3 linked regions of the Styela clava genome follow. The protein of the gene in region 1 purifies or fractionates together with the protein of each later gene. This does not show direct contact. Links are inferred from orthologs where the notes say so. Each region holds a gene or a part of one and is shown in the gene's direction. Other genes may lie near its edges.

The links. The genes of interacting proteins can lie anywhere in the genome.
Region 2: the proteins of cullin-3-A-like (region 1) and BTB/POZ domain-containing protein KCTD5-like purify together in Drosophila melanogaster (affinity purification with western blotting; 4 studies listed by BioGRID, with this or other methods). This does not show direct contact. The link is inferred for Styela clava from reciprocal best matches to the Drosophila melanogaster genes Cul3 and inc.
Region 3: the proteins of cullin-3-A-like (region 1) and kelch-like protein 3 purify together in Drosophila melanogaster (affinity purification with western blotting; 3 studies listed by BioGRID). This does not show direct contact. The link is inferred for Styela clava from reciprocal best matches to the Drosophila melanogaster genes Cul3 and kel.

Annotation. Positions count from the first base shown.
Region 1 is NC_135256.1:22,950,226-22,957,622, forward strand, and holds the start of cullin-3-A-like, read left to right. Parts: upstream 1-4,382; 5' UTR 4,383-4,465; coding exon 4,466-4,522; intron 4,523-4,584; exon of another isoform or gene 4,585-5,471; coding exon of another isoform or gene 5,472-5,507; intron 5,508-5,684; coding exon 5,685-5,882; intron 5,883-7,397. Other genes in the region: uncharacterized protein LOC120328661, read left to right, coding at 1-794; uncharacterized protein LOC144425210, read left to right, coding at 853-1,512.
Region 2 is NC_135260.1:12,395,867-12,402,729, reverse strand, and holds the start of BTB/POZ domain-containing protein KCTD5-like, read left to right. Parts: upstream 1-3,840; 5' UTR 3,841-3,888; coding exon 3,889-4,257; intron 4,258-5,392; coding exon 5,393-5,501; intron 5,502-5,963; coding exon 5,964-6,055; intron 6,056-6,863.
Region 3 is NC_135253.1:23,206,221-23,214,023, forward strand, and holds the start of kelch-like protein 3, read left to right. Parts: upstream 1-4,780; 5' UTR 4,781-4,896; coding exon 4,897-5,470; intron 5,471-5,975; coding exon 5,976-6,105; intron 6,106-7,803. UniProt on the Drosophila melanogaster protein: Component of ring canals that regulates the flow of cytoplasm between cells. May be involved in the regulation of cytoplasm flow from nurse cells to the oocyte during oogenesis. Binds actin.

The DNA of each region.
Region 1 (7,397 bases):
ATGATAATGATTTAGCGGATAATTTTTCTTCAAGGCAAGACTTGCTAAGAGCGACAGCTTGGATGAAGGGTGCATTTCAGCAAAAATCATTTGTCAATTTGGAATTTAAACCTGCCGATGTCGTACAATACATAGAGAAAGCAAAATTATGTATATTCAGAATTTGTCAAAAATCTATGATTGATGAATTTGGGAAGGATGTCAAAACTCTATGGAAATTAAACTTGTTATTCGATTCTCACGGAATTCTTCGTATTGGTGGAAGACTGAATAGAACTGATTTATATATGGAAATGAAGCATCCAGTCGTACTTCCGGGCAAACATTCCCTCGTTCGTCTTCTTGGAGTGTTCTATCATAAAAAGTTCTTACATCAAGGGTATCGAGTTATATTGGCAAATATGAAGAATGACGGTATTGTTCTTATTGGTGGAAGAATACTTTTAAAATCAATAGCATCAATGTGTATATTTTGCAGAATTCGTCGTAGAAAGTTGCTACAGCAAAGCATGGGAGAACTTCCTTCATTTCGAATGCAACCACAGATGGCACCATTCAATTCTGTAGCAATGGATTTTTTCGGATACTTGAAAGTAAAGCAATCTCGAAATGTAGTTATCAACGCGTCTGTTTTAATTATTACATGTGCAACCACTTGTTGTATTCATCTGGAACTGTGTCTGGCTCTGGATACTAATTCGTTCCTTCGGGCATGGAGACGATTTGTATCTATATATAAGGGGAATTCATCCTGCATTTGTATTTTCCGACGGAGGTACTACATTTCAAGCTAGTCAAGCGCCTATCAAGGAATAGATCGAGAAATGGAATTTTCAGTTGATTCAACATGAGATGGCAGAGAATCAAACGAAATTTGATTGGAAATATAATGTGCCTTACGCGTCACATATGAATGGAGTAGTAGAATCGCTTATCAACTCGGTTCGCAAAGCACTCGATGCACCAGTGGTGAATTACAGCAGGGCTCTTATGACCTACGAAGAATGGACAACTGTTCTCAACGAAATTACTTATATCATCAATAGTCGACCACTTTTCCCAGATGGAAACCCTTTGGAATATAATTGTATTACTGGCAATACTCTTTTACATCCATATGCAAAGCAGATAGTCCCTCAAACTACACAAGAAGAGAGATTCAATCCACGAGACATGCTAAAAGTGGCGGAAAACAGAGTTGAGGTGTTCTGGAAAACATGGATGAAACACATACCGCCTCAGCTATTACTTGCTAACAAATGGTTTCGAACAAGACGCAATCTTCAAGTTGGAGATTACGTATCAATTCTTCAACCTGGATTTAAAGGCGGAAGTGCACCCAGAGGTTTATGGAAAAAAGCACTGGTTCACAACATTATGCCCAGTTCAGATGGCTTAGTGAGAAGTGTTACAATCAAAGACAGCGATGGGAATTTATACAATCGACCAATACATAAACTTTGTCTAATTGCGACCAAAGAAGAGCTACAATGTGAGTTGAAAGGCATCTAATCTCATATCAGTTACTCCGAGTCAACAATGTTCAATATTTTCGTCTTTTTCATTGCATTCATAGACTGGGGGGGTGGTTTGAACATTTGACTGATTTATCTTGGTACTACTTACTTTTGGTGTGTTTACGTATGGTTCACTGCATCGCGATTATTAGCTGATTACTTGATTACTTCTTGTTATGGTTAACTGTCTAGAGCTTTAGTCTGTCTTTAGATCTGTTCTCATAAGCTTGTTAATGGTGCTATAGTCATTGGATATGAATAATCTATTTCTTAAGTTTCTTACATTGGGATAATCTGTTCTGACAAAGCCTCATTTAAATGTAAGTGAATTGGTATATTCTTGCTTTGTATTGTGCCTGATTGTCTGTACTCATTTTAATATTCATCTTTATTGTTTGTCAGATCACTTTGTCTTACTGATATCTGGATTAAATCACTTTGGGAGAAATCTATTCGTTTCATTTCGGGATATTAGTTAAAGAGACATAGTAGGCAAGGGTGATTTGTCAATGGGCAGAAATCCAAAATACTAGTTTCTTCCCATTCAATTGATTGTTCTTCTATTTTGTTTTGCAATCTGCATTCAATCAGTTCTATAGTAAAGTATATCGTGTAACATTCCATTCCATGTAATATTCCAGAACACAGAAAAACGCAGAACGTCACACGATGATTTTCAAGGCAATAATCTGTTAGAGAACCAAGTCGAGCTTGACGGCGAATTCAGCACCGGGACCAAATTTCCGGAGTTGCACGGGGTTGGTCAGATAGCTACAAATATTACTCATATAATATTATTTATTCAAATAGTTCATTGGCCTCCCCTCAGATTAAAGGACTGCTCGTGCAAAGCTCAAACTCACATGATACCGACCAAGGATTGTGGGAATTGCCAGGAGATGCAACAGCGGGATCCTCAATCATGAGACATTTCTTTTTAGACACAGCAAAAATGTACTGTACCGTAATTTTTGACATGTTTATTGATCTTGGGAGCCATCCAATGGATGAACGGTACATCTCTATCTCAGTTCATTTCATGATATCAGCTGACGCTCCTTCGTTCCACTCGAAGTTTGGTTCCACTGTTCCGTATTCTATTATTTGCGCCGTTCGGTGTCATACCGGTACCGTAACTGCAGAACTGCTCAAGCCTAAACCTGTAGGCAACAATCCGTTACCGTACCCACGTACCGCACCTACCGTTTAGAGGACGAACTTTAATTTTTTAACTGCCGGTACCGTACCGGTACCAGGAGCAAAATCTGAAAATGTTAATCCAAGTCCGTGCTTCCGAAAAACAAACAATATAACTAATCCCATGCCCGACTTGGAATGGTAACCGGACGAGAGGCCGTGGTTCGCCATATGGATAAGCCGTCTTATCGGCTTTTCTCTCCCCCGGGATAAATATGTAAATCCTATCTTATCCTAATACAGTAATAATGTCAGAATATCCTAATCGGTCTGTTACAAAGATACGGTACCACAGTACCGTACCGGTACGTCTGTAAGTCATTAGTCTATGTCTAGCTAGATCAAGAATAGGATTTCTTATCCAGATGGTGACTACCAGTATCATCACCGGCAGACCGGACTGTTAGCTACATTTACATTATGGCTGACTTGAGCCCTTTTAGTGTTTGTTACCATAACGGTACCGGTACAGTACCCTGGTTTTGGTACCGGTACTGCACTATCACAAGAGTACCGGTACGGTCTGACGGTATTTCAGTCTGTCCATGGACTCTACTAGGCTATAAAATGCAGAAATAAGTGTAAAAGTCTGAATACGCCACTGCACTAGTCGTTCATAATTTCTGAATTTAGGCAGTGTGCAGCCATAATGCCCCCGGGATAAATATGTAAATCCTATCCTAATGTTCAATAACAGAATAACTTAATTAATAATTGCAACTGGGAAAATTGAATAGATTTTGTTCACACAATCAATCAATTACCATATACAGATATACTTTTATACTGTTTTATGAAGTCTCAACATAAAACCGCAATGTTCTTTGCAACAATTACCGGTACGATATGTCCAATACCAGATGAGTGACTTGTGTTTGATCACACAATCAAACACTCGCCATATTCCCTTCTACTGTTCTATGAAATCTCAGCGAAAATAGATCAAAAACAGCAAAGATCGAAATTTACAGCATAAAATAAAATATAAAAACCACAAATACTCTGAAAATTTGCCAACGAAGGAACATTTTTATAAAAAGCTCAAGTTTCAGATAACTCTGTAACTTGGTATCGTAGTATTAGAAAAATAAAGAGATATTGAGCTCAATCCTGTGATATTTTATTTATTCCCCCCACGGTTTTGTCTTCCTATGAATAAGGAAGAGTTGTTTGAGTTCAATTTTTTCATCAATCTGCCAATGGTTTTATGGTCAATATAATTTTTGAAGTGAACATTTCTGCATTTTGATATCTGTTAACATCATTACAGCCTTATGAAGTGTGTCAAAAATGCTTCAATTCTGCTTTTTGAAACAAAGCATTGGAATCTGTTGATCTTTTTTAAGAAACAAAATCGAAAACGCAATGCTAAAACTTTTCAATTGAATGTAGTTAATATATTCATTAACATAACAAGGAAATTGATTTGTGGTAACATATTGGCGCTGATATATCATATGGCTGATCTATGGTGTGAATATTACAGTATTAAGGTGTTAGCATGATATTAGTTAAGTGAAGTTGACAATCAATTGGCTATGAGAGCCGAATATGGAGGTAACATTTTTCACTGACTTATTTGTCAGTTGGGAGTCCACACAATGTATGGGGATATGATAAAATTGAAAAAAAAAATGCTAATAAAATTTTTTTAATATATTAGAATGTCTACTGTTAGACCAGTCAGTTGAAAATTTTATCATCCAAGAGACTAGTAATCATCAGATTTGTAAAATAAGAAGACAGCCATCATGAATTCACGACTTCAAACGAAAAAAGACTCAAAAATGAGGATTCGGGCTTTTCCGGTTAGTATTCTGAATGAACAACTGCTCTGGTACTAGTTGTTTTTATCTTGATAATGTCTAGGTTAGTCGATCATTAGTAGCCTGATCTTCTATGAGAATTCTATAAATAAGTTCACAGTTACAACACATTTAAATTCAATGAATTATGTTAACTTGCTTTGACTGCACACACCACAAAAGCAACCGTAGCTTTATATTATTCATTTTTTTGATAAGATAAATATTTAGCAACGATTATATTTCACCATTTGCATAAATATCAAGAATTTTGCCCGTGGTATAAAATTTATAGCATTTTTATTAGCATTGTATTTTAAAAGTAGTTAAGTGATTTACGTACCAACTCTTTTCTGAAATTTATTTGTAATACTGTCTGATTTCAAACTGATTTATTGTGTAACAAAGTAAATACATTTTAAACTCAAGGAGGGCTGGATTTTATGGTGATAAACCCCAGAAAAAAAATACAATTTTTGCTCCATAATTCATACTCAAATTCAGATTTGCTACTTATGCAGATATGCCATTCGATTAAGTATGGTCATAGCCAACATGCTATTTTTTATATGCAAATTTTGTCTAAATCATTTATTCTAAGCCAAGGTGAGACAAAATGACTCTGTTACATTTTTTTAACTTTGTATATAAAATAGCAGTATTTAGATTTTGGGATCATATTTTTAAGCCATGTGACTTCATCTTGGAATTACTATTATGACATCACAAGACTACCCAGCAACCAAATTTTTACAATAACATTGGGATTGGGATGCACATTAGGGAAGATTTTATCCATAATTGGATGCGTTGGACAGGTTTTGACACTGTTTTCAGTGCTGTAAATGTGGATCCACTTGAAAAACTTAGAGAAATGGAAGCTTAACTGACCTTTGTAACAGTTTGTTACTTTGAGAAAAATGTATAATTTGATTAACAGTATAGGCTAAGGATGGAAACTATTTTTTCTATCCATTTTAACTTCCGAGTGAGTATGATATTGGAATTTTATATAATAGCCTATATGATATTTAATTGAACAGGTCTACTGGAAATCTTTACTAATTTTTGGTATCACTGTATAGGCAAATTTTAATCTGTGTTAAGACTATACAGAATTTTTTGAATATGATTTTATTGCTGAGCGTAGAAACTTTTTTATCAGATGACTATGGATGAAAAGTATGTTGCCAATATTTGGGAACTGCTCAAAAATGCGATTCAAGAAATTCAAAAGAAAAATAACAGCGGGCTCAGTTTTGAGGAGTTATACAGAAATGCCTATACTATGGTTCTGCACAAATATGGTGAAAAATTATACAATGGGCTAAGAGAAGTTGTTACGGAACATTTAACACAAAAGGTATTGTATGTTTTCAGTTTTTTGCAACTAATAATCTGTATCAGATTTTTCCCATTTTTTTCAATTAAGAAATAACTGTTCTTGGAATATTCGCCACAGGAAATTTCGCCGTAGGAAATCTCACTGCAGGAAATTTCGCCGCATGGGAAAAATTGCCGCATGATAAATCGCCGCGAGAGCATTTTGCTATAAAACAAGTATTTGTGATAAAACGGTTAGGTTTTTGAAGTATTCTTATTTTAAAAAGATTCTTTATTTAAGAGCATAACCTAACCCTATAAATCTAACTGTTTTTATCACAATTACTTGTTTTACGGCAAAATGCTCTTGCAGCGTTTTTTCATGCTATCACCAGGGCTGTCCAAAATCGAATAAGTTTTTGATTCGAATCGAATATTTTCGCCGAATCGAACCGAATAATCGAATATTATTGCGCAATCCTAAATCTGTCTTTATTATACAATAAACGCCTGCCCTTCGATGTTGTGGTGACGTATGTGCAGTTACATCTTACTTACTGCTGGTATTTTGCAATACAATGTTTTCAGATTTATGAAAGGAGATCACACGCTTGTATGAACTGGTCAAAAAAATTTGAGGACTCAAAAATTTGGGTCTCGAAAACTGTTGAGTGTTAAGGGTAAAAATTGCAATCTCAATTCTAATGGATTCAGTTTTATTAGGACATGTAAAGCCTGTAGATGCTATTTTAATCCTATTCACATAATAACAACCATTAATATAGATAAAGCTGTTGATCAAATTCAAAATTGCATTTAACAAATTCGAAGCTAGTTTGATGACTTTAATATTGTTAGTGTAAAACAGCCATCAAAAATCAAGAGTGCAATTATTTGTCTTGGTGTATTGATGAATAATACAGTATTGCCATCATAAGAAATTACAAATTCCATTGAAATAAGGTATTGCCATCATAAGGGTCCCAAAACACCTGTTTCAGCTTTGAGTTGCCTGTACCAAGTTCCTATGATAACTAACTTAACAGCTTCATATCGATTCTATTCATAGAACTATCATTTTCTAAATTGCCTTTTTCTCCTTGTTCTCTCTCAAAAAAACGTCATTACCGATAACTTTTAAGTTATGGTGACCATGCATGAAATGGCTAATCATGTGCCACCGGGCGGGCATTAGGAATGACATGTTTATCACAAAATGAAGGCAAAAGAAATAGAGAGAAATATCCGGAAACCAATTAAGCCAGGAGCGAGAGTGGTCTAAACTCAATGTGCCGCCGCTTGCCCGATGAAAAGAAGTCCTGCAAAGGTGGTTTCCGCTTTATGTACCTAATCTTAGCGATTCGAAAACGAGAATATCGGCTGGAAACCGAAGACTTATCGATAGTTAGGGGATCCCCCAAAACAGAAACTGCAGTTTCGATTCATCCGCTCTTGTAACTTGCGCACTGCGCATCGCACACACACACACTGGGCCGGTTCTCAAAATTCTCTTGCTTTACAAAAATCTAGATCACTATATCAATAATTGATTGAT
Region 2 (6,863 bases), on another chromosome or scaffold:
GTGTTATTTGAGCCGTTACGGTACCGTACTCCTGGTAATTAAAAGCGCTATAACTTTCACATCACAATTTACAGATTTAGTTAGGTGTTATTTAATCAGTTACGGCGACATAGTTCAGGAGTTACTTTCAGACTTTAGTCGTTTTCAGTCAGTTCTGCTGTTTGAATCTGTTCACAACACTGTTCGGCTTAACTTATTGTATAACATTGTCAGAACGCCAGCCCACACTCGTGTGACGCTAGCCCACACTTGTGTGACGCCAGCCCACACTCGGCCATATTAGGGGTATTTGGGCCGTGCTTGGTATTGTATTTGCGTTGGATATATCGGGTTTGGTCTATATATTATCACAGTAACCAAGTTTTTATTAACTAACTCCTCCTAACTCCTTGCCTATATTCGACTAACCCGTTGACCGCAGGCTGAGTGTGGGCTGGGGCAAAGCGTATATATAATATAAGCGAGGCAACGCTCAGACAATGGACGCCATCTTGTGCCTATTGTTCTCGGCAACTTAACAGGGCGCCTTATGAGAAGTTCCAACACAATTATTGAAACATACCTATTATTTTCACTAATATTATAGGTAAAAAAAATTTAAAGGTGGCGTTTTGAAGTAGAATCTTAGCCGAACATGCTTATATCCTTTCATGTTGGCCAAATTACATTTATAGTACATTAAATTGTCTTTGAAGACAAGTATACCGGTTCCGAGTTGCCTCCGAAGTAAATTGGCTATTCTAATCGTCATAATTAACTATTTGACAATGGCGTTCCTTATGACGTCACAGATGAAAAGTTGTATTTATTCGTCGAAATTACTGGCCGACCCAACTCTGCTTCAATGGCCGTTTCTATTTTCTGGTTAACATTTTTCATCTGTCAAGCTCCATAATGCCTTACTGCTCGGCTCCAAGCTGCGCTAGAAGAACAAATGACATTTTAGGATTGTTGCGGAGACATTTTACTGCCTCAAATTAGCGTATCACTATAAAATCTTCGAAAAAAGGACCAAAAATGGTTCTACGCTGTGTTTGGGGTCAAATTTAACGCATTAGATAGTTTTTTATTCTTAATTGCAATATATATTTAAATAGCATATATCTTAAAGTTCAAAATCCACCCTTCAGTTTCATTCTAGCCCTTATAACAGCGGACTTATTCGATTCGGTACAACAACACAACGAAAATTTCCCATAAGACTCCATTGTTTCGCGTTTCCCAAATATGGCATAAGATGGCTTCCATGAACTTGTTTAACATTAGGCAGGTTGGTTGCCGGCCGTTGGGCTGGGGTAACTCTGGTGGCCTGCCAGTATGCAGTACCTGCAGTATATACAAAATTATCGTAGCGGCTGAGCAGTAACATTAACTGATACATGGATTTTGTAATATTGGAATCTTTCAACATGTTTAAAAGAATTGCTGGTACCATATTCATCAGTATTGCTGTAACCATATCATTGGATCTTACTATTTTTACTCTAAATTTTACTGACGTTGCTCATATAGCAGTAGCAGTGTAGTTCAGTAGTACGGTATGTTACCGATCAAACATGTATTCCACAGTGACACAGGATTCAATATTCTATTTATAATTTATGACGTATAGAGAAATTTTTACAATTCTTGGACGAGACTTTTAGGCAATGCTGTCAAGCTGTGGAGTCGAAAAGAAAACTTAATTTTAATTACCACATTAACGGTACTATATATGAACCATTGCATAAACGACTTCGAGTGAATGGCAATTTTGAGTTCAAATCTTTATTCTTGACTCAGGGTTGGAGGAAATTTTAACTCTAGCTCAGTAGCTTCTAACTCCAGAAAACCAAATTTTGACCATAAAAACTTTGTCATATGCAACAGTTCTTCAATTGCCTGTTGAAAATGCTTAGTAAACCCATTGCTTTTTTTATTCTATCCAAAATTTTGATGTAAGTCACGACCCATAGGAAACACTGATTTACTGGGCACTTTATAGGTTTTCAAATAGCTAGAAAGTGTTGGTTTGATTGCTGATAGCATTTACAAACTAAAAACTTTTAATCACAAAATATTTTCTGTAGTCTGATTTCAGTTAACTAAGACATATACATATGCTATAATTTTATCATGTTTGAGTAACTTATTGATTATAGTCTTATCTAACTGAACAAATCTATATTGACCTTTATGGCTTAATATGATATACATTGCAGTGATAAAATTCTGTCTAAATTTGGTCTTTTTTAACCTTAATTAACCCATTGAACTTTTTACAATCAATGACGTTTCATAGCTTTAATTAATGAAGAATAGCTTTAATTAATGAAGAGTTACATCATTTTGATGTAATTATGAACTGAATGATTATTGTGCACGACCTAATTATAAATAACTCTCCTCTACTGCTACCTCGTCACAAAGTTATAGTGTCAATTTGTTAGCTGGTAACAATACATTTCTGTTGTGACAATTAATCAAACATGGCATTGTTCGTTTTTTTATACTTGTTTGCAGGTTTAATGTATGACAGGTAATTAATATGTGATTGATTTTTGTAGACTTTATGTTAGAAATCAAATTATTCCTCGCCATCACCAAGTCATAGATGGATTTAATCTAGCCTCTGTCTAAACTCTGGCTGAATGAATATTGAAATTCCTGTTTTTTAAATAGGTCTCAGGCTTGAAAATGTAGTGCAGTGGGAATGTGGTAAGAATATCTTATCAGGTCAATTTGAGGAAAGACAAACCGGGAACAAATTGTTTTGATATTTATGGCCAGTTGAAAGGTTTTCTTTAAATTAAATCAGATGTGTTTGGCTTGTCTAGCCGGTTTCTCAAGCCAGTCCTTTGTCGCCGCTTGGGCGCATAGAGCAGTAGTCTGCTGGCCATGAGCTGAGTGCCATTTACAATGACTATAATAATTTAAAGTGAATTGACTGTGAAATATGAATGTTCAATTTGTTGGCTGTAATGCTATTATCCTTCTGCCGGATTTTTAAATTTTAGATGTGGAGCATGAAATGACTGATTGAAAGTGTTAAAAGCAAAACTACCCAAGATTTTCTTATAGAATATAACAAAGTTACAGGTGTTGAGTCTTTATTAAAAGATGTTCCTGATTATAAAAAATTAAAATATTAGTTAATGAGTGAACATGTCTAAATAATTAATCTGTAATTTTATCCGTGTATGTCCAGCTCATTTTCATTAATATATTTCCTATATTCTTTGTTTTAAAGTGATTTTTTTAGATTTGTTACATAATGCGGGTATTTATATAAAAGTTCGAAAATAAGCTTTTAAATTCTAATTTCATGAAATTTTAAATCTATATATAAAATTTAGTGTCTCTTCTGCTTTAAATTATGTTTTATTTAACCTTATTCTAACCTGGGAATTATTTCATCGAGTGTAAAATAATAGTGTTATAATTCTGACATTTCATTATTTTTGTGGTGGAAGAGTCTGAATGATAGTAAGTCAATCTCTAAACATGAAATATTAAATTTTGCATAAAAGTTCATGTAATGACATTTGTATTATAAAGCATCTAAAGCTGTGGTTCTCTGAATTTCATGATTTATGCCCTTTCAATGATTGTCAACACTCTGTGGCCCATGTTCCTCAATGAAAAATATAAAATAAAGTTTTGTTTTTAGCGGGTTTCCATCAGGTATGCATGTATTTGAAAACCGTGCTTGTGGCCCCCTAGCGGCTCATTTTGAAAAATTGTGATCCAAAGTAAAGTAACATTGAAAATTAGCAAAATGAAATTAGTTTGGTTTATTAATCTGAATTTTGATACTACGACATCTTGATTTCTTGTTATCGCATAACTATATATCCTTACATCTTACAGTAAATTATATTGCATATTATCACTATAAAATCAATTAAAATGTCCAGTAGTAGTTTAAGTGAAGAACAAAATCGAATGGAAGAAGAATGTAGTAGTACCAATGGTACAAGCAGTTTATCTTCAGAAGCTAATGGTGTAGAATGTGCAAAAAAAATGAAATTGCCGGGAATGGCACCAGATCCACCTCCAGCTTCAGAAAGTATGATTTCATCTACAAGCAAATTGAGTGAAGGTACGGACTCTAGGTGCATCAATGGAATTATGACAAATGGAAATGGAAAAAGCAGATGGATTCGATTGAATGTCGGAGGAAAACATTTTGTCACAACTTTATCAACATTAAGCAAATATCCAAAATCTTTTCTCTACAGACTTTGTCAAGAGGATCCAGATATAGATTCTGATAAGGTTTGTTATATCATTTCCTTTTTTGATTGTAACAATCATGAATTGGATACTTGAAAACATTCAAAATTTATTATGTTCGATATTTTTGATATTTGAATAGGCTAGTTTTGATTTGGGCAGATTAGGTCTCCTAGTATAATTAGAAAGGCTTTTATTTAACTTCTATTGGCTGTAAAATAGAGTAGGCTACCAATCAAATCATTGATATCATAACTGTTCTGCACTTTCGTAATATTTATTATTTCTGCACTCCAAAAGTATTGTTTGGAGAGGTATTCGAAATGATAGATCGTTTGGTTTTTGCCATTATTCTAACTATTCCTTTGGAGTAAATGAAGTATATTAGATCATTCTGACTCCTGTACTAGAAGGTCAGTTTCACTTTATAAAATATTTATTTCAGTGGTTTGTGGGTCAAATTGATTACATATATTATATGATCCCATCCTTCGCTATTGCTGAATATTATTTCAGATAGAAATTATATCCTGTTATTCATAGAAAAAACTTCCATTTTATTCAGGTGGTTTATATTTCTTCACCTCTTCCGCAAGTGGTTTGCGGAATTGACTATCCTTTGTACATTCTGATACTTTATTCTAAATATGGAATGCCGAATATATATTCTAAAATATGTGATTTTGGTATAGTATTAGTGATTGATTTTTATAGTGGAAGTTTTGCAGGTTTTCTACAGTACAATACAGATATAGAATTAGCCTAGATTGGTCTGAAGTCGAACATCAATTTCTTAGAATAACTAATTGAAAATTATTATAATGTTCAAATATTTAAATTTATATATATATTCCATTCACTCAACATTTCAGCTCCATTTAAATCAGTATTGAAAAGATTGGACTATTTATTTTAAACTATTATTTTTGCCAGTTTATTGGTCAGCATTTCTAATGTATATTAATAAATCTTATTCATATGGGAATAGAGTATGTTATGTTTTTAAGAGTTCCCTGAGGAATATTTTACGAGATTTACCGATTGTAATGTATCCATTAGTCCACTTGACTTTCACAAGTCTGTCTCATTGTTTAATTTTTATGTAAAGCACCAGTATGCAAGGCAAATGAATACCCTTGTCAATGCTCAATTTAACATTAAACTCTTTTTTATTTAGGATGAAACAGGGGCATACTTGATTGACCGAGACCCGACCTATTTTGGTCCCGTCCTGAATTATTTACGACACGGAAAACTAGTGATCAATAAAGACCTTGCAGAGGAAGGTAGAGTACTATACGCATTTTTCTTCTCTCATATGCATACAAATATGTTATTTTTCATCTATAATACCTTTCCAGCTTTATGTAAAAACACCATCTGCAATGATCTTTAATTTATGGACTTCGATTCAACAATGGACACTCAGACTATTGCATTTTGAATAGGAATTGTATGAATCATATTTATGCTAAAATTTGAATACTAGAATTCATTTAGATATTGAGAGTTATTCAAAATATGGAAATAATCTTTATAATTGCATAACCATCTGTTTGATATGAGTATTTTTCATGCATGTGGTTAGGTTATTATACCTCTTGCAAATGTCCAATAGCATTGTCTTAATTTAATTTTATCGCTAAGTTTTGTATATTTTCAGCTCTAAATTGCCCAATAAAAATCTGGTATAACCAGCGATTCATATATGGACTTATCTCATTTTTGACTACTAAATTTTTTTATAGGTGTATTAGAAGAAGCAGAATTTTATAACATTGCTGAACTTATCAGACTCATTAAAGAAAGGATGATGGACAGGGATCTCAAAGTTGTCCAAGTAAATTTATTTCTATTTCGCTGTTGTGAATTATTTTCCATGATCAAGTCTCTAGATGGGCAGACACTTATATATGTAAGAAAATGCTTTGTTTTTCACTGGATCAGTATGGTATAGTGCGCTCCAGAAGTATGTGTACCAATATGGAGGTAACTAATTTTGTTTGCCTACTTTACATCAAGTTGTGTAAAGGGACTGAATCCTTGGGGCAGGGGGTGTATTCACTTGGCCAAAACAGACAGTCCAGAACTCGTAATAGAACTAAAATAAAGAAAATTGGAATAAAATTATGGCCTAACCTGGTACACGCACTACAAGAATACCGGGGATGGTACATAGCTACTACGGTCATTGAATTCAAACACAAAGTTTTATACCTCCGTTATAAACAGTTAAATCCAATGCTGTTACCAACCACTACACTTTCACAGATATAGTATAAACAAATAGAACATGTATTATACATTATAAACTATGGTATGTAATGTTACCTAACAAGTAACAATACTTTGTTTAGTTATAAAAATAGTCAAAAATTATGTTATATCAAATTGAGGTGGTAATCATGAAATTGCTACTCGGATAATGTGCAAGTGAGTCTGTGGGATAAAGTCAAATTACACATTTTAAAAATAAAGCATGATCCTAATTTGCCAGTTTGTTCTGCAAACAACATCGTGCTAAGCGTTAGCAATACGCTCGCTACCGCATCTCTGATTGGACTGCGTGGGTTCGCAACTTCCAATCCCATGCGGGGACAGTTATGAGCGAGAGGATTGCTGGACTCCTCGTCGCCACAGGGTGGTTC
Region 3 (7,803 bases), on another chromosome or scaffold:
CCAAATAGTTCATGCACCTCCATTTAGATTTTTTTAATCAGTCAGGATATATACTCATTGGTGTAACATACTATTGCGCATTCACTTTTATTTGCGTATTGAATCAAAGGATTAACAAGTTCACCTAAAATTCCACTCATACCGGTCTATATTGTATAATCTGATCTCTCAATTATTTGGAGCCACGAATGCTTGTAAGTTTCTGACTAAACCCCTTTATTAGTTGGTTTATATACCAAATTCAGTAAAACATATTTACATAAATCATGAGATATTGAATATATTAGCTTTTCCATTCTAAATCATATAGACTGCTTTATTTATTCTTAACGAAAATTAATAAATCTCCTCTCTTTCTTCAGATGTGAAAGTTGTGGACGAACCTGTCTAAGCATTGTGAGACTCCTGCAGCACAAGAGGCAATAGCAAAAATAGTAAGTATATCAATCAATAAATTAAGCCGACATAAAGCAAAACTTTCAACTATTCGTCTAATCTCAATTTCCTATTATTTATTCACAGGACAACTATAGCAGAAGGGGAGATATCAGAAGTCTGGCGATATCAGTGACGGTGTGATTCCAAGAAATATAATTGGAGTACTCCATAAATGTTTGCAATAGAAGAACAACCTATGGAGGCATGCAAAGACATTTGACCCTCTAGTAGAGTTGTGTATGGCCCCCACATCCTGAAAAGCTTGAGGAAAATAACTAAAAATTCCAAAGTGTAAGATTGCATAAGCGATCTTATTTGTAAAAAGGCACAAAACACGCCAGACATACTTAAAACAGCTTTGGAAAATGGTTCTTTGGTTCATCAACTTTATGTAGTACTATAGAAGAAATTCAGGTAAGGGGAAAAACATGATTCATGATAAAATACTGTTATATATATTTTAGACAACTTCAATCTAGACCAGGGATGTCAAACTCGCGGCCCCAGAGAACTTCCACTGCGGCCCTCGAACGCTTAACAATAATTGTAATGGTATTTTGGAAGTTTTTTTTTTATCTAACTGTAATAGATTTTTCAAACCTTTCAAAGTAAAATTGATTATTCACACAGAAAACAATTTACTGAAAGTAGTTTTGAACAATTAATTTATTTTTTGTTAACATTTTGGCCCAATTAAGAATACACATCAAGCTAGCAAAAGAATACTTGAATAAAACACTTGAGTAATTAAATTAAACGCAAAGTACATGAAGAAGGTGGCATTTTCGAAGAAAATGGGAGTTGCAATATTTCTGCATTTCACAAAATTCTGAAGCACATTGTTTAATTTGTCATATTTCCATCAATACAATGAAAAAACACAATAACCTCAGCAGTCAATATGACAAATTCAAAGACCAACTTCGAACAGAAAATTTCCATGTGTTTGTATATATTTTAATATAATTATACAACGTTCTAGTTACTAAAAATCAATATCAATAATAATTCAAGCAATCCTATGCCACGCAATGTGGCGCGAAATGTCTTGTCGAAAAAATCTGTCATTTGTTTTTTTACTGATCTGTACATGAAATGATAAAAGTAACTTTTTTGCATTACTGGAATTAATTAAACATTCGCAAAGATCCAGATTAACCCATGATCATGTGACCTCGTTAGTTAGAGTTGGAACTATAAAATCATTTCAGCCTGGCCTTAATATGCTGGTGACACAAAAAAGCTGCCAAACGTCAGGGCAAATGCAATTAAAAAAACATTGAATTTATACTGTAGTATTATTTTTAATTTTAGGTCCATATATTTAGATTAAGTCATTTTTAGTGTATGTATTATTTTTTTCTTATCCAAAGCTTGTTCAAAAATGATTTTGATGGTTGTACATAGAATTTTAGGATTTTTTATAACAAATACATTAACTTGCAATAATAGTGGAATGCAAATATTAATATGTAATTGCATTTGAAATTAAAGAAAATAATAAAACTTAATCCAACTGTTTAGTTGCATCACAATATATGTCACAAACTAAAACTATCTTAAAAATATCTTTCAATTATACATTATCAAAAACTGTTTGCGGCCCTTTTTACAATTTCCAAAATGCAATGCGGCTCTCAAAAATCAATGAGTTTGACACCACTGATCTATTCCAGACGATTCAAGCATTGCTTTGGGAAATAATATCACTTCAATTAAATTGAAAAAAATCTCGCTATATTAAATACAAAATCGTTGCTATCATAAAGGTAAACCAATTCAGCCACTCGAAATATATTGGCCTTCACAAAGCAATGGAGGCAAAATTGAGAGTTCATGAGCTATGAACTTTTGTTCTTTTCTTTGTTTTGAGCTTTTATACTCCACAGCCCCTATTAATTTTATTTCAATTACCATGTGATGGTCATACATATCTTCAACTTGTATGTTCTGTCATGATGTATTATCTCAATGTGTCAAACTATTAATTAGTGTGCATATTTAGTTTCCAGATGACATAAATGTATTGTCTTGTTTATTACCTCAGCTTTGAGTATTGACAAGAAAAAGGTGCCAGTAAATTACGTGAAATTTTTTTTAACTCTTTGTTATAATCAGAATTCACAATTAATAGGAATTATAAACAGCCAACAATCAATGAGAATTATATGCAAAATCCCCCAGAATAAATTTGTCTTCTAAAATCGGAGGAAGGCAAAACATATATAGGTAGTTTCCATCCACACAAGTCTTTCAAGAAGACTTACTCGAGCCAAACTAAATGAGCATCGTCAGGTGATCGGTAAGGCTGAAAGTTGAATCAGCCCTGAACCTCCTGCATAGAAGATAATATTAAATAGTGGGCTATGAGATAAATTCCTAAATTTAAACAAACCAATCTACGGGGCATTATGTACCAGCAATGTTACCCACGATTAACTGAATATGTAATATGTCTAATAAATTCACCAACTAAAGCAAGTTCGATAGGTGCAAACTCTGTGTTATGGAATTGTATCACAGCACCGTTAAAAGAAGTAAAAACAGTTTTGCTGTTTTGTATGACACCCTCTTTAAATGAAATTTCAATGTTTAAGCGCAAACATTAAAATTACTATCTTTGAACTTTGTCATTATCTGCAAAATGTTCCACACAAATCTTTACAGTATCGTGTTTGTAATCTTCTCTGATAAAAAAAAAACGTCTATGATGTCCAGAATTACTCTTTACAGCTAGCTTGTCTGCCATTCCAGCTTTCCAAGTGAGCAAAACTTCTTAGATATAATGATTATTTTCTTTCGTCACAGACGCAAGAAGGCAGATACTACAGGTAAAAAAGGCGCCAGGTAGCAAAAGCGAACGGAAAACGGTCGCGAAAGGAGACGATAACTATGTGCATTGGAGCGTATCATGAAATACAATCTTTAGCCTGTAGTCGTATGGAGTGACGTCAGAGTTGCCCATCATGTTGTTTAATGTCATTGGATAAATTTATGTCGATCGTCAATTATAAAGAAAATAGACATGGCGAGTTAGCTCTCTCTCTCCCTCTCTGCTCGCAATCAACGACTGTTAGGATAGGATAGGATAGGATTTACATATTTATCCCGGGGGAGAGGAAAGCCGATAAGACGGCTTATCCATATGGCGAACCACGGCCTCTCGTCCGGTTACCATTCCAAGTCGGGTATGGGATTAGTTTTTACTGTATTGTTTGTTTTTCGGAAGCATGGACTTGGTGGTGGAGGAAGCCGTAACCGACCAGCGGTTACGTGAACCACCCAACGACGGCGAGGAGTCCAGCAATCCTCTCGCACATAACCATCCCTGCATGGGATTCGAACCTGCGAACCCACGCAGAGTAATTAGAGGTGCGGTGGCGAGCGTATTCCTAACGCTTAGCCCGTTGAGCCACACCGCCGCTGTTAGAATAAAATGAGACTGCCGGTAGCCAAATAGAACTTTTGATATATTTAGCGTTGTTGTTGATTTAGTGCTCATACAATCAATTAATATGATGATATATTTAGCATGCTTAGATGAAAATGATAAGTTGAGACATCCTTTGCGCGTCGAGTACCGGTACCGTACGGTACCGGTACCGGTATGCCTTCCGATATATAAGCGTTTTCTTGTCACGTTGTTACCATTTGCATAGTAGGTATTGTAACCAAACACATTTATTTTGATATATTTATCCTTATTATTGAAGTTGTTAGTATAAACAGCCACCTTTCCATCTCCCATTACAAGAAGAGCCTCCGCACAATTGCAGGCTAACCCGTTAACCGCCGTCGCATGGCGAGTTAGCCCCCATGGCGAGTTAGCCGTCAGCCCTGGGAAATTGTGGGCTAGAGTAACTTTGGTGAAATATCAGGGTTGCAGCTTGCAGGGGCATCTGGCAGGCTGGGCATTGTTCTGGCTGGGGTTTAGTGAAGTGAACGCCGTACCGGTAACTGCTCAAACAATGCCAAACTAAAATGTGACATGCCATTTTAATGTAATTACCACAAAAGTTTGTGCCGGTACCGGTACAGCGTTATGACGAAGAAAGAAAAAAGCCTTTATTTCAAATCAAGCCTCGCAGCCTACCGGTACTCAATTTTCAACTACAGAACTAGGCAGGTATGTCAGTGCCGTTTATTGTAATGTGTTTGCGCAAGACAAACTTTTATATTTTTTTTTCATTTTTAGCAGATATTTGGGTTGTATTTTCACATCACATTTTTGTTTAGCATGATTTACAGTATGCAGTTGCGGCTGTACAGCGTTTAATTTACAAGACTCTTGTTCAGTTGTCTGGTTGTTGGAATCGAGAACTAATTTATAGCTTCATAATCAATAATATTTTTTAACTACAGTTTGGTAAAATAATTTAGACATAGATTCTTCACAGTTCCTTTTTCAGTCAAAATTATATTGTTCCCATTCAACTTATCAATTTAACAAAGTTCAAAATGATGAATTTCCTCGGTAATGAGCTTGAATCGTGCAGCGAAAGCACAGCCGCAGCAGTTTGCGACGCCACTGGTCGTGTTCCGAGTAACGGGCAGCAATTTCATAATGATGTGCACTCGAAAGAAGCATTTTCTTTGATGAATCAACTCCGCAAAAATCGGGTTATGTGTGATGTTCTTCTTGTTGCCGAGGGAGCAGAAGTCCCAGTTCATAAACTAATAATGGCTTCAGTTTCTCCCTATTTTATGGCTATGTTTGGTGGAAAAATGTCTGAGTGTCGAGCCGATCGTGTAAAATTAAACGGAATAAATGGTGACGCTTTGAAAGAGCTTGTGGAATATGTCTACACTGCTCAAATTGAAATTACAGAAGAAAACGTCCAGAATCTCCTTCCTGCTGCAAGTTTATTGGAACTAACCTACGTTCGAGAGTCATGTTGTTTCTTTCTCCAATCACAATTACACCCCACAAATTGTCTTGGAATTCGTCAGTTTGCGGATATCCATGCTTGCACTGATCTACATGATCAAGCAAAGTCGTTCACAGAACAACATTTCACTGATGTCGTACACGGTCAGTTGATAGTGGAAAGTGTTTGGTAGGAGTCGGGAGTCATTCTCCAAGTAGAACAGTGGTTCTCAAACGATGTGGTGCATCCCATAAGGGGGTTGATCGTAGACAATTTTTGAGAGGAGGTGAAGCTAAATAAAAAATATTTGTTAGATTTGATCTTGCCGGCCTTATTTCAGAGAATTCAAAATGGAAATCCCGCATTCTTTCCAAATCTTGATAAAGCATGCGAAAACATACTAAAAACGTTTCATTTATTTCATTATTTACGCTCCATCCACTTATTTTCAACATGTTTTTGTGAATAAAGCATACTTTCTTCTTACTATCTTTTATTTGCAGCTAAATGTTAGCTAGTTATTTTTGAGGTGGGGTGCGCGACTTGACAAAAGGGGGGCACGGCTTAAAATGTTTGAGAACCACTGTTATTGAATATACTTAATCTCAGATGGATTTTGATGTTTGATTTCTTTTAGGCCTTCCTGATAAATTGTTTTTGAATTCACAGGTGAAGAGTTTCACAATTTGTCTTGCGAACAAGTATGCGATCTCATTAACAGCGATCGTTTGTCCGTGGCGTCAGAGGAAAAAGTTTTCGAAGCTGTCATAAGCTGGGTTAAGAGTGGAATTGGAGACAGGTTAGTTGAAATTAGTTTAGGTTTTTTTAGCTATTGTTAGCCATGATGACGAATATAGCTTACAATTCCTAATTCATTCTAAAACATTAATTTTGAATATTGAATATAATCTGAATTAGTTTGTTTGAAGTGCAGGCACTTTTTTTTTATACTACACATATTCATGACTCTCATTTCCAACAAGGTCCTATACAAGGAGCCACTGTCATCTATTTAAATTTATTGCACCCCAAGTGAGGTGGGGTGCGCCTTAGAATTTTTTGGTCTCGGTCAGATGTTACTTGCTGTAATAAAATTTTAATCAGATTCAAAAATATATTTTATTGAACGCGTAAATATCCGCTATCCGCTTCGACCAGTAGTTCTCAACCTTTCTTCTTTCGTGGCCCATTTTTGTTGCACAAATATTTCGTGGCCCATTAAATTTTATCACGCAAAAGATAAAATACAAATAAATACTTTCAAGAAAATACTTTCACTTTACTAATCAGAATGAAAATTACCCCTCAGTAGCGAAATACAGCATCAGCATTCATTGCTGCTACAATCAAAATTTAACTATAGTGACGCAAATGAAACGGTATTTATCAATAACTCTAGCAGTTTTTAACGGGTTTGTGCCCCACTTGGAAATGTTGCTATGGCCCAGAAGTGGGCCATGAACCACTGTTTGAGAACCAGTTGTTTAGACATTTCAGCTAGAGAGTAATATTATCTGCAGATTCGTTCACCATATTTTACATTCAAAATATTTTGCAATATATATGCACAATTCCCCAGAGTTCGAGCAATCAATATTTCAATACATTTACTGGCGTTACTGTCTAGTAATTGATACATTTTGTCTTGTGCTTGTCTCAGGGAAGTCAATAAACTAATAACATGTCGAGAATGCAATTATATTGGATTTTTAGGCAATTATCAATACATACTTGGCCCATACTTGGTATGTAATTGGTGGAGTATTGTGAAGCTATCAGGTATTTGAGAGTGGAAATGTTGGTATTATTCCCAAATTTCAGTATTGTAGCCTTCAAACATTTCAAATTCCAAATAGTTTGTTCCAAATGAGGTAAAAAATAAAGGGATGTGCAATATTTCAGATATATTTGATATTTCATACCCAGGAAATGAAATATCAGAATGTATTTGTAATAGAAAAGCAATGGCTTCGACCAATCCCTGATCCCCTTCTAACAACTAGTTATTTATTCGATATGATTAACACAAATTGGCATCGATCGAGTTTGAGAATAAAATTGCTGAGTTATAGAGTAAAGAGTTAAAGTATTTGAAATCGGTTGGTCAGAAATTATTTAGTTTTTATATGTGTGCATAAACAGGTATTATAGCAATAATAAAGAACTAAAAATATTGGTAACACAAATACAATGCAAAATCCCTTCCTATTTCGGAAACGCATGGATCGACAATATTCAGTATTATCAAATTCAATTTCTGTATATGTTTTTATAAATACGTCCCATTGTGAAAAATATTTATTTTTATTTGTCATAAACAGCCACAGATAATATTTCATAATGTATTCAAAATTCAATTTTGACCATTCTTATATGTAGATTTGTACTGCTGTGTGTTCACCATATATGAGTCAAATAAATATTCAAAATGAATGTGTAATTTTATGCTTTATGTTGCCCTCTACGGACGATATGGTCCGTGACAGAACCCCTGCCT